Schizosaccharomyces pombe: one gene and its partners. The main gene of each other region encodes a partner of the protein of the gene in region 3 in a complex. Each region holds a gene or a part of one and is shown on either strand. Other genes may lie near its edges.

What was found.
Region 1: img1 (region 3) and mrpl16 share a complex: the UniProt entries of both Schizosaccharomyces pombe proteins name them as parts of the mitochondrial large ribosomal subunit.
Region 2: img1 (region 3) and mrpl39 share a complex: the UniProt entries of both Schizosaccharomyces pombe proteins name them as parts of the mitochondrial large ribosomal subunit.
Region 4: img1 (region 3) and mrpl37 share a complex: the UniProt entries of both Schizosaccharomyces pombe proteins name them as parts of the mitochondrial large ribosomal subunit.

The regions. Positions count from the first base shown.
Region 1 is NC_003423.3:3,507,009-3,511,179, forward strand, and holds mrpl16 (mitochondrial 54S ribosomal protein uL16m), read right to left. Parts: upstream 2,126-4,171; 5' UTR 1,926-2,125; coding exon 1,278-1,925; 3' UTR 515-1,277; downstream 1-514. Other genes in the region: lys4 (homocitrate synthase), read right to left, coding at 1-299; protein tam12, read right to left, coding at 2,695-2,895; ARS-binding protein Cbp1, read right to left, coding at 3,763-4,171. UniProt on the Schizosaccharomyces pombe protein: Component of the mitochondrial ribosome (mitoribosome), a dedicated translation machinery responsible for the synthesis of mitochondrial genome-encoded proteins, including at least some of the essential transmembrane subunits of the mitochondrial respiratory chain.
Region 2 is NC_003423.3:2,700,168-2,703,685, reverse strand, and holds mrpl39 (mitochondrial ribosomal protein subunit bL33m), read left to right. Parts: upstream 1-1,934; 5' UTR 1,935-2,436; coding exon 2,437-2,459; exon of another isoform or gene 2,460-2,510; coding exon 2,511-2,612; exon of another isoform or gene 2,613-2,643; intron 2,644-2,670; coding exon 2,671-2,713; 3' UTR 2,714-2,951; downstream 2,952-3,518. Other genes in the region: ATP-dependent RNA helicase Mak5, read left to right, coding at 3,327-3,482. UniProt on the Schizosaccharomyces pombe protein: Component of the mitochondrial ribosome (mitoribosome), a dedicated translation machinery responsible for the synthesis of mitochondrial genome-encoded proteins, including at least some of the essential transmembrane subunits of the mitochondrial respiratory chain.
Region 3 is NC_003424.3:1,639,841-1,643,436, reverse strand, and holds img1 (mitochondrial 54S ribosomal protein bL19m), read right to left. Parts: upstream 1,743-3,596; 5' UTR 1,683-1,742; coding exon 1,134-1,682; 3' UTR 505-1,133; downstream 1-504. Other genes in the region: anaphase-promoting complex ubiquitin -protein ligase E3 subunit Apc11, read right to left, coding at 145-267, 311-329; erg8 (phosphomevalonate kinase), read left to right, coding at 2,552-2,559, 2,626-3,596. UniProt on the Schizosaccharomyces pombe protein: Component of the mitochondrial ribosome (mitoribosome), a dedicated translation machinery responsible for the synthesis of mitochondrial genome-encoded proteins, including at least some of the essential transmembrane subunits of the mitochondrial respiratory chain.
Region 4 is NC_003421.2:1,252,296-1,255,751, reverse strand, and holds mrpl37 (mitochondrial 54S ribosomal protein mL54), read right to left. Parts: upstream 1,435-3,456; 5' UTR 1,208-1,434; coding exon 788-1,207; 3' UTR 526-787; downstream 1-525. Other genes in the region: cca2 (ATP/CTP tRNA nucleotidyltransferase), read right to left, coding at 1-472. UniProt on the Schizosaccharomyces pombe protein: Component of the mitochondrial ribosome (mitoribosome), a dedicated translation machinery responsible for the synthesis of mitochondrial genome-encoded proteins, including at least some of the essential transmembrane subunits of the mitochondrial respiratory chain.

The DNA of each region.
Region 1 (4,171 bases), on a different chromosome or scaffold from region 3:
ATTTTACACTTTAAGCCCAATTTGCAAATAGCTTCGCAATCTTGGCGGGACTGCTCAGAAGCCACGGGAGAAGTCAATTCAATGTAATCGACACCAAAGTTGTCCAATGCCTTAGCAATTTGAATTTTCTTCTCGGTGTCGAAAAAAGCGTTTGCGAATTGCTCACCTTCACGAAGAGTAGACTCAATAATGGAAAAGTTATTGACACGTGAAAGAAAATCAGATGGGTTGGGACCATAAGGGTTTCCATTCATAGGAGGCTTGATGGTCTCAGTACCATTAGCTTCGGACACAGACATGTTGATGACTTTAAAATGCAAAAAAAGGAAAAGGAAAAGCGAATTTTCTAAAATGAATTAAGTATAAATATATAAATTATACAATTCAACAACTTATTGTCCCGAAACCTGTTAGCTTTGAATTTTTTAAGCTAAATCTTTTATCACTGTAGAGGAGACAACTAAGAGCAAGGATGCACGTATGTATGAATTTCAAAAAATTCGACCCTACCCTATTTATTTACTGAAAGAAACAGTCACTACCAACTCGTAGGCAACCGCGGTAATTTATGGTAGAAAATTGATTTACAGATCCCGATCGATCTTGATGAGATTTAATCAGATCTATGGTAGTAATGATTAAGTTACTGATCCACTCAACAGTGGATTGCTAAGCTAGGTTCTAGAAGGTATAGTGATTTTTTTTGTAAACGTTGTAAATATTTTAGTGGAGTTGATTTGAATAATTTCATTCGTAATTCCATAGTAAAATCAGTTTCATATTATTTAAAGTGTACTTTTTGATTCACTTCATGATTTCGCACATATACAACGTGCCGTTTTTTACATCCCGAAAAAAAGTCCCCAACGGAGCAGAGAGCAGCAAATAAGATTTTCGCCAAAAACACTCATTACCGTTACCAACTTTTCAGGACCAAAGAAATTTGATGTTTTAACGAAATTGCCGAGCCGTAATCAAAGTGAATCAAAAGTGGTTCATATTTCGCCAACAAAAATTAAGCAACTCTCTCATTGGGGATGAAAGTTCCCATTTCGAAAATAGATAATGAAACATAGCGCAAAATGTACAATGTTTTAAGGCATTTCTGGCAAATTTCATTCACTAAAACATAGAATAACTACAACGATTGAAAAGAAGCTCATGAATGTCTGTACAAAGATGCAGCATTAAGTTCACAAACTAAGTAAGTGAGAAGTATGACAGAAAAGTAATTATTGAATGGGTTAAAAATAGATAAATTCAGCTTAACTTTTCCCTTAAACAGCTGTAGTAGTACTGGTAATTTCCTGATAGTTCATTTTGCTTGTCTCGGTGGTAATGGGGGTTTCATGAATCAGTGTGGTACCCAATCTTTTGGGGGTTTGCTTGACGATAATCTCATACTTGCCTGGAAGGTGAAAAGCGGCTTGCTTCAATGCATGCTCAGCTAACTCTTTACGCATTCCATCACCACCAATTTCAAAAAGTACACGACCGATTGGTATCCGTGCAGCCCAGTATTCAAAAGCTCCTTTGCCTTTGCCCATACGAGTTTCATTTCCTTTTACGCATACTGGCACATTGCAACAAAAACGTGTGTATACCCGAGCAGCCTTGATAGGTTTTAATATACGCTTGAGAATCTGTTCGGCAGTTTCGAGTTGCTTGGCATGAAATCTTATACTTCGATCTTTTAATCGCATACCATATTCTCCCCATTCAAGTTGAGTACCACGTAGTGAACCTCCTATGGGTATAGGGACTCTTCCTTTCTGAGCTTTTTGGTTTCTGATGCTTCTGGGTGCATACTGGTGTCCCCAACGAACCATCGTTTGGATAGGCGGCATTTGTAAACCATTCAACCTCGTAGGTCCTAAAATACCAGAAAAAAAGAAAGGAAATTTATTGTATTGTTGTAAAGCCATATTATATAAGTTTTTATGTTGTGAGGGTTTCAAAAAGTCATAAAACAACGTGTTTTTATTATCATGCAAAAGTCGTTCTTTAAAGTTACTCAGAAATATTCAAAATAATCAAATTTAAGTATTATATTTCTTTTTTTATGGGAAAATGGTAACAATAGTAACGATAATAGGCCTGCTATTTTTTGTATGAGAAGGGGGTTAAAGGATACTTGGATTCTGTATGTGTTGCTGCCACTTATCCTAACTAAGTTCCGGGAAGAAGCCGGACAATAACTGAACATTAGCTATAATTATTTATTTGTTTGTTTATTAGTTTGTAAAAAAAAAAAAAAAAATTATCTTAAGCATTAGGCAAAAAAGATTATTTTCATAGATACTGAATTTAACGTGCGTTTTATGCTCAACACATTATTTGATTCAGCATCATCATTTCAATGACAACAATGCGTGAATAGAAATAAAACAGTGACTATTTTAGCTATTTCAAATAATATACTTAGCTCATTTCTTGTCAAGGAATTCTTGTCCTTGAAGAATAACAAAACGTTCAACTGTTTAGTGCCTCAGTATTGGTATTTGGAATGTTAAGACTGTCTTAAAAAAATCTTCTGATGTACGTTTATAAACCATTAGAAGGATCCTCTATCGAGCTAAACATTATTGTATGGACAATCGAACGTAAGAATGCCAAGCGCAACTCTTTTGTCCCCTGTAGCAAGAACTTGCTCACATCATGATTATAAAAAAAACAAAAAATGGGATTAGGAAATTATGAAGGATCTGCTAAAATCTTGCGCATTGATCTACGTATCGCGGGAAAAGAAGAATTGTTCTGCAAAGCGTGAATAGCCTGATATTCCCAGTTTTCTAACGTCTTTTGAGCAGCTTCCTTCTTTAATGAATTTGTATATGATTGGGATAAAGACGCTGTTCTCGTAGAAAACGTCGACGAAGAACTAGTTGTTGACATACTTTAATAAATATTCCGAATGGACACAACCTTGAAGACTTGCCAATTCGAATTTCTCTGATTTTACTGATTCTTGCTGTAAAAAGTCTTAAAAAATTCCAATAAGCTATAACACGCTTGATTGTTCAAGCAAAGGATTTGAGTTATTTGTAGAAATAGAAATGTGCTTACTCGCCATAGTTATGAACATCGCCATGTTAGTCTAGGTCTCGAAGAGAAATCGTTATTTCATGTTACGTATAACATCAAAGTTCGTTATTGATTATTTCTTATATCATTACATCATATACCTTTGTAATGCTTAACTGTAAAGTAAGCTTATTTACAGTACGAAGCAGTTAGCAAAAGAGAAGTACATTTTTATAAAATCAATCATGCGTAAATGGATTAAATTCGGGTTTCACAGTAATAATTTATCATTTTTTGAAGCTCTAACCCCTACGGTTCAACTATTTACAATCTAATCTCGACCTTAAAAAAACAAATATGCCTCAATAAAAAAAAAAAATTTCTTACATTTAGCCGGTTTTTATTTTTAAAGATAAATAGTATCAATATTAAAAGCACTTGATTGCGAGACATGAATTACAAAATGTATAATATTCAATTTCATTAGCTCGTATAGCGATTTTGCGTTTAAGAAACTTCGAAAAGGTTTTTTTAAAAAAATTAAAATAAAAACAAAGAAAAATCAAATAAGCTCATCAGTTGCAATCGGGTATTAAAAATAGAGCAACAAGTTAAAATGAAGGAATAAAAGCAAATTACTCATTAGGTAAGGGATCCAAACTCAACAAAAAGAAAATTAAAACTACTAAAATACAAACCAAAAACAAAAAAGTCAAATATGCACAACGAATACAGACATTAGGTGCTTCTCAAACGAGAAAGATTCACGTTACCACCCCTTGCCTCAAGGAGCTTCTGATAATTTAATAGACTAATCGTGATTGCAGGATTTCCATCGGGTTGTTGAGCTTCATAGTTTAGCAAAAGCTCGATCGCCTTCATAGCGTCTTTAGTGGTAATCTGGAATTCAGTAGATTCTTCTTCGTCCGTCTCGAAAGCGCGATCATCCATGTACTGCGAAGCAATTTGATTGATTATATCCTCAGAGGAATCAACAATATTCTCTTCTGAAGGACTTATAAAATCCTCTATACGCATAGCAGCTTGAACAGAAAACTCTGAGACGAGCTCACGAAGTGGATGAATCATTTCATCCAAGGCACGCGAGGTAACGGCAGATTCATTGAATAGACCAAGAACACCGGAA
Region 2 (3,518 bases), on a different chromosome or scaffold from region 3:
CTCAGCTCAAAAAATAACAAAATAATGCGACGGAAGGAGAGCACAGTGTGAGATCTGATAGCACAAACTGGTAAAAGTCGGTTTATCAATTTGACCTGTACTACCCATCGCATGATCTTAAATTACGCCTTTTCATGCACAAAAATGGAAAATCTTTCAAGAAAGGAAAATTTACTCTAACAGACGATATTGTCTCACTATCCCATGTTTGTATTATGTGCAGACTAATTAACTTAACGTTCTTTTTAAACTACGTTATACTTGCTTATAGGAGACAACGTGCTTAACTGAAATGTTAACAGTTGCATACTTAGACTTATCTTGGATAGTGAGTTTGGCCCCTTTACCCTATATGCCAAAAGATGACCCAGGGGGTTAATATTAAGGCCTAAAAGGTAGGAGGAAGCAAGAAATGGTAAAATGGCACGTGCCAAGCCAAACAAGAAGAGATGATAGACACGCAGCTAAAGAACATAGCAAGCTTAAAGAACAAATAACAAAGCATTTTGGTTGGGAAATTGATCAGTTGAAGAAAGTTATTAAAGTTAATGATTATTATAGATTTACTAGTAAATACATAAAAACCAAGGAAAAGATAAGAAAATAAAATAAAATATAAATAATAATTAACGATAATTATATGTATATATAAGAGGATAATAATTTTATATATACACAGCAAATCCATCCTATATTTAACATAGTATTCCTCTATTAAGTGCGAATATTCTTTTACTTAATTCAGCCTTTGCTTATTTAATGCGAGTTGTCTCAGCCCTTAGTACAATGTCAAATCCTCTTTAAAAGATAGTTATTAAACCTTTTGTTATTCTAATGACAACTGTAACATATCCTTGACTTGTTTACTATCCCTGCTGTAATTTCCAACTCAATTTTTATTCTACATATATAAAGCATCAGTTAAAGATATTTTCGTTGCTTCTCTCCATCATTTTCACAACCAGGAAAAATGTTTATTTTAAAATTTCCCATACTATTGACCATGTAGAACCGTAATAACAATCGTAAACATTGCACTTAATGAGCTTTAAATACTCTCTCAATTCTTTCATTCAGTCTCCATATCCGAGGGATGTAGCCTTCTCCAGTCTATTCTATATCCGTCTTTGGGTGCGGCTATACTTGCGTTGTATAGATTTTCTCCGTATGCATCGTGATATGTCTCAATTTCGCGGATGAGATACGGACTTGGGATTTCGGGCAGATCGTCATACAATGTCACTAGCTTCCGCAATTCATGCGATTTGTTCATTTGCATTCTTTATTTGGCTAACCCTTGTAAAATTGGGAAAACACATTTTATATTCTCTTTGGACCCATAAACACTTAAAGTGACTTGTAACTCATCCATCCTAGTCTTGGTACAGCAAATGAATTAGGTTTGCTTACAACTTGAGGATCGTCTTATACTTTCAGTATTGCCAATAATTTACAGTTACAATGATACTTAAAGCTTGCGTTTGTTTAGAGCCGAATATATATATATATATACACGAAAGGCTTTTTAGAACCACCTCGTCATAAATGTTTCTTTACTAGGCTCGCTAATTTCCATCTGTGTTTTTTTTTCACGCTAGCAAACTATGCTATTGCAATTAGTTCATTCTTAACGTCCTAATTCATCTAGTACATGTCATTTTAACTAAAAGAATTTTTCCTGAAAGAAAATTGGTTCTTTCATTTGAATATCATTCTTTCCAAAAAAAATGTAGAAATACAAATAAGATTATAAATTGGCAAAGACGCGATTGGACTTTAATTAAATACCCATCTACAGCCAATAATTAAAAAACAATAATAATTGTAATAAAAAAAAAGAATTTTTCAAGAGTTGTTCATCACTTCATATTTTTTCTTCGAATGTTAATAGAACAGCAACTTCTATTTATAAGATTACTTATAGTTTGTTAATTATTCCTCTCTGTTAAATTGGCAGACATCAGGAGAAGAGACGCAGCAGACTCAATTTGTTATACTTTCCTTATTAACATTTTTTTATTTTTTATTTTATTTTATTTTTATTCAAAAATTCTTTCTAATTTTTTTATTCTTACTGTTCGTCTTTCGTTCTTAAGTGCCGTCATGCATGTTTCTCAATTAGAATTTCAAATCTAAATGCTTTTTTTCAAAACAAGTAATTCATTGATGAGCCTTTTATCTTTACTAATAGTTCTATAGTCTACCTAAAACAAAAAAATAACCTATTGAAAAGCCTCGATTGTACACAACCAAATTTAATAAAAATTGGATTGCAAAAAGGCTTTCTCATTACTCAAAACAATATCTTTGAATTGCAAACTTTCAATTTTACATTTCTGACTGCAAGTTATCCATCAAGTTAAAAGAGCTCGCCCACAAACCCTGGTGTAACTACAAAACCTTTAACTTACCGCTTGCACTGTACGTATATCCAGAATGGCTAAAAAGAATAAAGCTCGGTAAGACATACATGCTTAATTTAATGCGCATTTTTAACATTTATTTTTCAGTTTGCTTGTAAAATTATTGTCCACCGCTGGCACTGGATTTTTCTACGTTCGTTCACGTCCAAAAGCTGCTCCTAAGCTTGCTTTTATAAAATATGATCCCAAGTAAGTTATTATGGATTTTCTAAAGCCTCATTTAAGAAGCTAATGAATGAACCCATAGAATTCACAAAAGAGTACTTTTCGAAGAATCCAAAATGAAATAAAAACTTCTTCCATTTCAATGATAGTCTGAAAATGAAATGCTAAATTATGACCGATCAATCTACCTTTTTTCTTCAAAAACTTTATGGATGTGCATTAATTATGTATTAGCTTCCCAACCTACATCTTATACGACATAATTCTAAACAGCTGCGTGAACATAAAGACCCTTATATTATTCTGTCATATCTATAATTCCTATTTTTATTATTATTATTTAAGAGAAGGACTGAGATGTCAAATTTTCAAAGTAATAAGAATGTTCCTTTCACCTGTACCAATTGCTAGCCGAATTAGAACTATAGTAGTAACATCGTTTGTGTTTACTACTCTTGTAAGCACTGTAGCTCAGATCATTCGATTCTAAAATTCTCAAGCAATATTTTTAATACAAAATGGTTGTACTATTTAGAAATTATGCAAAACATGGCAAAGCATTGAATTGCTAAAACCAATCGTCGTTTAATGTCTTCGTAACATTTAATTATTTGTTTTCTATTAGCTTATACGATGCAATTATTTTTATTCCCTCGTTCCAATTCTTAGTGTAAATTTTTGTCTACCTACATTTTCTATGTGGAGCAAACTACTACACTTTTCAACGCTTTGATCACGATGCCAAAGAAAGCTGCATTGGACGAGCTTAAATGGAAGGAAGTCAAGCTTCCTGACCACCTAGACGACTTCGATGGGTTTATGGGCTTGGAAGAGATTGAAGGTGTGGATATCAAATATCAGCCAAAAGGTGCTATGAAAGAAGTAATTTATGAGGTATAATTGTTTATTATCTAATTTATTAACAAACAG
Region 3 (3,596 bases):
TATGAATATTAGATTAAAGATTATTTGAACACAACCAACCCAATTGCGCAACAAATTTTCATGCTGATACCCCCTTAGGATGCAAAGTATACAAGTAAGCCTCCGCAGAGCATATTCAGGAAATAAATACAAACATATTCTTACCTATGGGGCAATTGTCTCCAGGACTTGTGCATTGAGGGCAGCATCCATCGAATGGAACACGACATATACCACAAACGTCGTCTTTTGGGGTATCCCACGTCCAGTTAGCAATTGCATGGTATCCTAGTGGTTAGAAAACAATTTTATTTCCAAAATATTCGCTTACTCAGTATTTTCACCTTCATAGTCTTTGTATATTGTATTTGAGATCTAATTAAATAAACATTAGTGTTTTTTGCTAGCTAATGTTTTACGTTCTACCACGGTATTAAGAAAACAATTCAGGCGAAAAACAAAATGTCGTAAGAAGAGAAGAGTTAGTAGATTTACAGTTGATATTTGGCTTTAGCTATACATCTTTTCGTTTTCTGAAAGTTTAAAATTTCTAACTAAAACTAATTTTCATTGGACTGTAACAAGCCGGCTACATTCGACATGCTAACAAAATTTTTATATTTATGATACTTTGCTTCTTTAGCTTATAACATATTGTTGAGCTCAAGTTTTATACTTTTTTACATGAATAATTTCAAATATTATTCAAAATAATCAAAGCGCAGAATTATGAAGAGGCAAGCCTACATACAGCTCAAATTTATAAGAAAAAAGTAGAGGTTTTGATTCATAGTGCCTCACAAATTCATCTGGGAAAATTAATGGCAATGACATGTGACTTGTCGATTCAAAGAATGAGAAGGGGGTAAAAGGCTCAAAGGAGGTGATTCATTGCCGTTTCATGGAATCGATAATACGTGTTTTGACAAACAGGCTAAAGCCGAAATATACATCCAAATCTCTAAATCTGTTCCAGAAAACCAACCAACGCCTCTTATAATGCAGTTCTAAATGCAATAGCCTGTAGAAAAAGACAAGTAGATAGGGAAACATAGAGTGTAAACGAACTATAAATCATACAGCGCTTCTTGAATAAAATCATGAAAGATTCGCAAAAAAAAAGAAATTTACTTGCAGAAGTTGCAATGATTGTGTCAAGGTTTATGTTGATTTTGTTCAATGTATTTTCGCACCAGTGATTCAACAGGTGGAAGACGAAAGCGAGGTTGACGCAAGTAACTTAAGTATGCTCTTCTAGGTCTTTTAGATAGACCATTTTCTTTGAGGACAACAATACGTTTAATTTGTGGAGAGTAAATTGGTAACAAATATTCGACTCCAACACCCATTACCACGTTTCGTAACAGGATTGAACTTTTTGGTCCACGATGCCGAATTCGCAGTAGATAACCAGCAAATCTGTTGACTGAATCTTTTGATGGGTATTTTGAGTAGCTTTCAACCAGTAAAACCGCGCCTGGTCTTACTCGATTTGGCTGCGAGCGATGAAACATTTTGAATCGCTCAGATTGCTCATCCAATACTGAACGGCACTTTTTTTCGAATAATGATAACACATCTTTGTGCTTTGGACCTGGTACTGGCTTTGGAAAGTTATAAGGCCGTTTTAACGATCCAATACCTCTCTTTTGTAGCCATTGAAAGCCCAATCCTAAATTGAAAAAGTGTTTGGCATTAAACATGTCTTCCAAAAGTCATTAAATACCGTTCGTTAGTAAGAATGACAAAACACTATATTCTACAGAGTATCTTTTTAAGTAAGTACGATGGTATTCAAAATGAATTAGCAAATTCTGCACAACGTATTTCGTTATATGTTATTTATTGTCAACCTTCCATTACGCTATATTAGACTATGTAAGTTAATACAGTTGATTATATATTTTTATATGATTTATCCATCAAGGATTGTGTTTCTGACCTTGAATGTTCAAGGCAATAGAAAGATTCCTGTTGAACCCGAATGAATATACGTGTTCCAATTCAGTTACATGGCTTCTCATTGTAGTTATAATACTATCAATAACTCGCTGGTATTCAGAAAACTTCAATAGCAAGATTTGCTTTTTTCTTTCCACCTTAATGTTCCATTTTCGTAAAAGATATTATTTTATATGCAATCAATTATATACTCTAATATGAATATGCGTTAATGTAATCTCTGTATTCCTGATTTCGAACTCTCCTTAATTAACGTTAATTTTCTATACTATTTTCTCCACAAGCAAATCTTGCGAAACGAACGATACGATAATGATTTAGAAAGTTGATTTACTCAAAGCAACTTTAGTTTCTGTATAACATTTGATACTCTTTGATCAGTTCTTTTTTTATTTTTTTTGATTTTTAGAATAACACTTTTCAGGAGCTACTGTTCGAAGATAATCCTCTCTTTTACTTTGACTGATATATCATTTCTCTAAATTCAACAGATTATCACGTAAGATAGAAGTCATACATTCCTTTCTATTTCCTTCTCAGGTCCTATAAAAAAGTTACGACACACAAAACATTATAGAGATATCCATATTCAAGACAAAAATATATCAACATGAAAGTGTAAGTTGAAACCAGTCTTTTTTCTTTTTTTCTGTTTTGTCCATCTCTAACTAGCGTCTTTGGCAGGACCTGCTCTGCTCCTGGTAAAGTACTTATAGCTGGTGGATACATTGTTTTAGATCCTCAATACAGCGGGCTTGTTATTGGTTTAACTGCCAAAGGGTACGCTTCCACAACGACTTTGGACGATAAATGTGGAACGGTTCGTGTGAAAAGCCCTCAATTCATTAACGCTGAATGGCTTTATAATATTGATTGGACTGTATCTCCTATTCGAGTTCATCAGATATATGAAAACTGTGAATTGGAAAAAAATCCAAACCCCTTCGTTCAACTGGCACTTTTTTATGTAATTAACTACTTTTTTTCCACGGGGCGACAACCTTTATGCTGGCAAGATCTTCAAGTTACATTGCAGGTAGATAATGCCTATTATCACCAACCACAGTTAAAGCCTGATCAAACAAGCTATCCAAAATTCAATTTCTTAAACTGTACTTTAGGTCAAGTACATAAGACTGGTTTAGGAAGCTCGGCAGCTATGATTACAAGTCTTATAGGTTCATTATTTTTAAGTCTTAGACGACTAACAGATGACACTGGTGACAAATCTCTCAAAATTGATGATTCAACCAAAGTCATAGTTCACAATCTGGCACAAATTGCCCACTGTTCTGCACAAGGAAAAGTAGGAAGTGGGTTTGATGTTGGCGCTGCCACTTGGGGAAGTTGTATTTATAGAAGGTTTGATCCTAAATTAATTGAACAACTGCTGGTCCCATACGACGAACAAATAAAGAACATAAATTTTTCCACCGAACTGAGAAAAATAGTTTCTAAAAAATGGTCAGATGTTGTTCCATTTCAATTGCCTGCTACTTATTGTTTGCTAATGGGGGACGTAGCTGGTGGCAGTAGCACACCGGGTATGGTAAAAAAAGTACAGCAATGGCAAAAGGAAAATCCAGAGGAATCTAAGAATTGCTTTGATGATTTGTATTCAAGAGTGCTTTCCATCAAAAACTGTTTTCTTTCTT
Region 4 (3,456 bases), on a different chromosome or scaffold from region 3:
TGTTAAAGAATAGGGTGTTAACCGTGAAGTCTCTTCTCAATGCATCTGTTTCAACAGTTCCTGGGGTAACGCTAGGAATTCGACTTTTATCATCATATGATTCTGCACGAAGTCCTACAAAATCAATATCAAGGTCAAATAGGGATAAGGTAGCAGTTTCTAAATGCTTGCTTTGATCGGGATTGACAGTTAGCTTGCCAAGTGCGTCTTTATATGGAATAACTGAGTCAGAGTCGAGAGAGTGAACATACTCAAATATTGAATTTGCAAAGTCAACACCGGTAACTTTATTCAACGTAACGTCTAAATCGTCACTAGAAAGCCCAAGAAGTTTATCGCGAACCCATCCTCCTGCCAATCTAACTTCCAATGACGAACTGCTGCTGGATTTAGATTCAATAAAATCAGCAGTCTTTTTCAAAAGATTAACAACTTTTTTCTCAACATCGTTCAATACAATTCTAGAATACATTTTCGTCAGCCAAATTCCATAAACGATACACAGTTTGGGCAATACCGGTTTCTCTAAGGTTGGCAGGTTGAGGTTTGAATATGCTTCTCTTAAAGAAGGACATGTAGTAGTAATTTTTTTTATGCTACAAATGTATATCACTGATATAAGGTTATTTAATATATTTTTATTTTAAAATGATTTTTGGATTCTGGGAAATGGTAAAGTAGCGAATGTCATATGCCTCAAAAAAAGTAAACAAAAAGAATGGATCAAATGCTCATAAGGATAGAGAGGAGATGGAAAATTAAGAGTTTCAAACATTCTAAAAGGTAATTATTTTTTAGTAAGAAAGTTAGCCGCTCGAATGGCACTTTTACGAGCATGACTTCGGGCAGTCTTAGAATTGGGAGCTGGCTCATCCAGAAGAGACCATAACCATTCTGGATATTCATGATCTTCACGAGCTACAGGGTCGACGCCACCCGCCTTTATACACAGTCCCTTTAATATAGTACCTGGAAGGACAGAACTAGTGTGCGTTTTATTAGCGACTTTTTGAGCTGAAGAAGTGGCATCCGAATTATGCTGTGGCTTTTTGGGTGAAACACGAGAGGATACATAACTTCGTTTAACTAATGATGAAGAAGAGTTACGGGAACTTCTTAAAACCAATGTGTTAGAGTAGCATGAGAATTGAGAGATACCGCGAGTAATTGCGCGCGATAAAGGGGCCATTGACTCGATAAATGGCATTGCTTAGACAGTAAACAAAAAACTTTGCAAGGAGGATAAAATCTTTAACCAAAAGTGGATCAAAGGCGATGAAAAAGGTCAATAGTAACGCCTTCGCATATATAAGGAGCAAATACGTCCTGCTCTTTGAGTGAAAAGTTTTAGAGAATAATATTATTTCAAGTACTATAGGAAATAAAAAATGACTCTATAAAGAGCCGCTTTCAAAGTTCAAGGAGTTTGGTTATGGGACAACCTGGACGTTACTATACAACTCATGTACAGATGGGTAGCAGACACAGGTACATGTAAGGGTTTCAAGCGTCTGTTTACAATTTGGGAATCAAAATAAAATTTTTGTTTTTGTTTTTTTCATAATTATAAACTATTGCTAAGTTCAAATGGGGTGTCGTTCTAACAAGAATGTCATTAAGTTTACAATAATAATACCAAGCACGCTTGAGTACTATAGGAATACTTATGAAATAAAGTAAAGCACAATCTATCAAGTGAGACTCTAGAAATGTTAATCGAAAATTGTATTTGTCTGTGTTCGACTATGTAAGAAAGTCAAAGAAATAAAATAATATGATTTATTTTTACAATAAATCATTAGCACATTAGAATATTTCTACTTCATTCATTTTTCTCAACTTGCAATGTTTCTTCGACAATCACTTGATTGTTGTAAATGGTAAAGAACCATTAGGTGTTATTTGGGATATTGAGGAACAATCTAGTAGTACGGTTTAAATAAAGAGAACATATATAGATTTTAGAATTAGTATTCAATTATGTTTAACGTTATGTCCTTCATTCGATACGTCAGAATTACCATTTTTTTTACTTGCGAAATGTACTTATTCCACACAGTTAGCGACTGATCCATTGAGGATCGAGAAGCGCTTGCAATCACTTTTTGTTAAAGAAAAATAGATTTACAATAAATTTGACAAATTGTACTAGTCGGTGTCTTAAGTCACTCGGGACAATTGAAAAAAATAAATCACTGACTTGCGAACTCTTCTTAGTTAATAGTTACACCTTTATGGGTGTTTTCTTAAAATTTCGCCAAGTTTTACTTTAGATAGAACATAAATCATTTAAAGTATTATCCATCTCATGAAAACAATAAAAAATCTGCAAGAAGATCAATAAACAAGCTTTAACCATCAGGTTATTCTCTTACTAGAATTTCATTATTTGCCTCGATAAATTCCTATAACATATTTCTCTAAGGCTCTTCGATATTCATTTTACAAATAAAAAAAATCATGCCGACAACGGCAGGATTCGAACCTGCGCTCCCAAAGGGAATCCGCTGGGCTACAGAATAGCAGGCGAACGCCTTAAAACCACTCGGCCACGTTGTCCTCCGTTGAGACGATTAGTATTAAGTAGATTATGTATTTAAATTTAATAAATTTATAAGAGATTATTTAGTGTACCGAAATAGTTTTAAATTCATTTATTTAGTATATTTTTGCTTATAACATTTCCGGTTCATTTTGGAAACGATTTAAATAAAGAAATTTTACAATTTTGTAAAAATGTATGCTTTCAATGTACAATTACGATTTTCCCTATTTTGCTTTTCTTACACTGAAGGAAATGCTTGTGATTTCCTCGATCAATATTTGATATCCTATTTTTTTCCCTCATTTATTTTCTGGGGGTTTTTTTTTCTTTCATCCTGTAGAGAAATTGTATATACTTTCTGTTTATTTCTATATTACTATAAGATGGGGATTTAGTTTTAAATAGTAATGAACCAAATTAAATTACATTGAACTTATCAATAGTATTATGCTTTGTGCTTCTGCGATTTATTTTTTTTATTTTTTAAAATTATTTTAATTTATTTTTGATGATTCGGGATTGCTTGTTAAAATATTCTCTTGTCAGCTTTCTACATAGTGCCATTTAAATATAGGTAAAAGATATTGCAATTGAAATCAACATATCTCCTAGCACAATATTAACCATTTGCGAATCCATTTAATAAATAATGCCTATTCCTACCATATGCATTAAAAAAAAAAAAAAAAAAAAAAAAAAAACACTTTGAATATTTATTTAAGCAAAAAGTATAATGTTTAATAAATGGTTCCATGAGATTTGATAAACTGTTCATTTGATGGTGTTTGACCTTTATATACTGCTTTAAATACACGTTGGAATTATCACAAAGAACAAGAACTTGTTCAGAGCTAGGATTCGAAAATAGAAATAAGTATATTTACACTGAATAAGTTTACTAAATATATGTT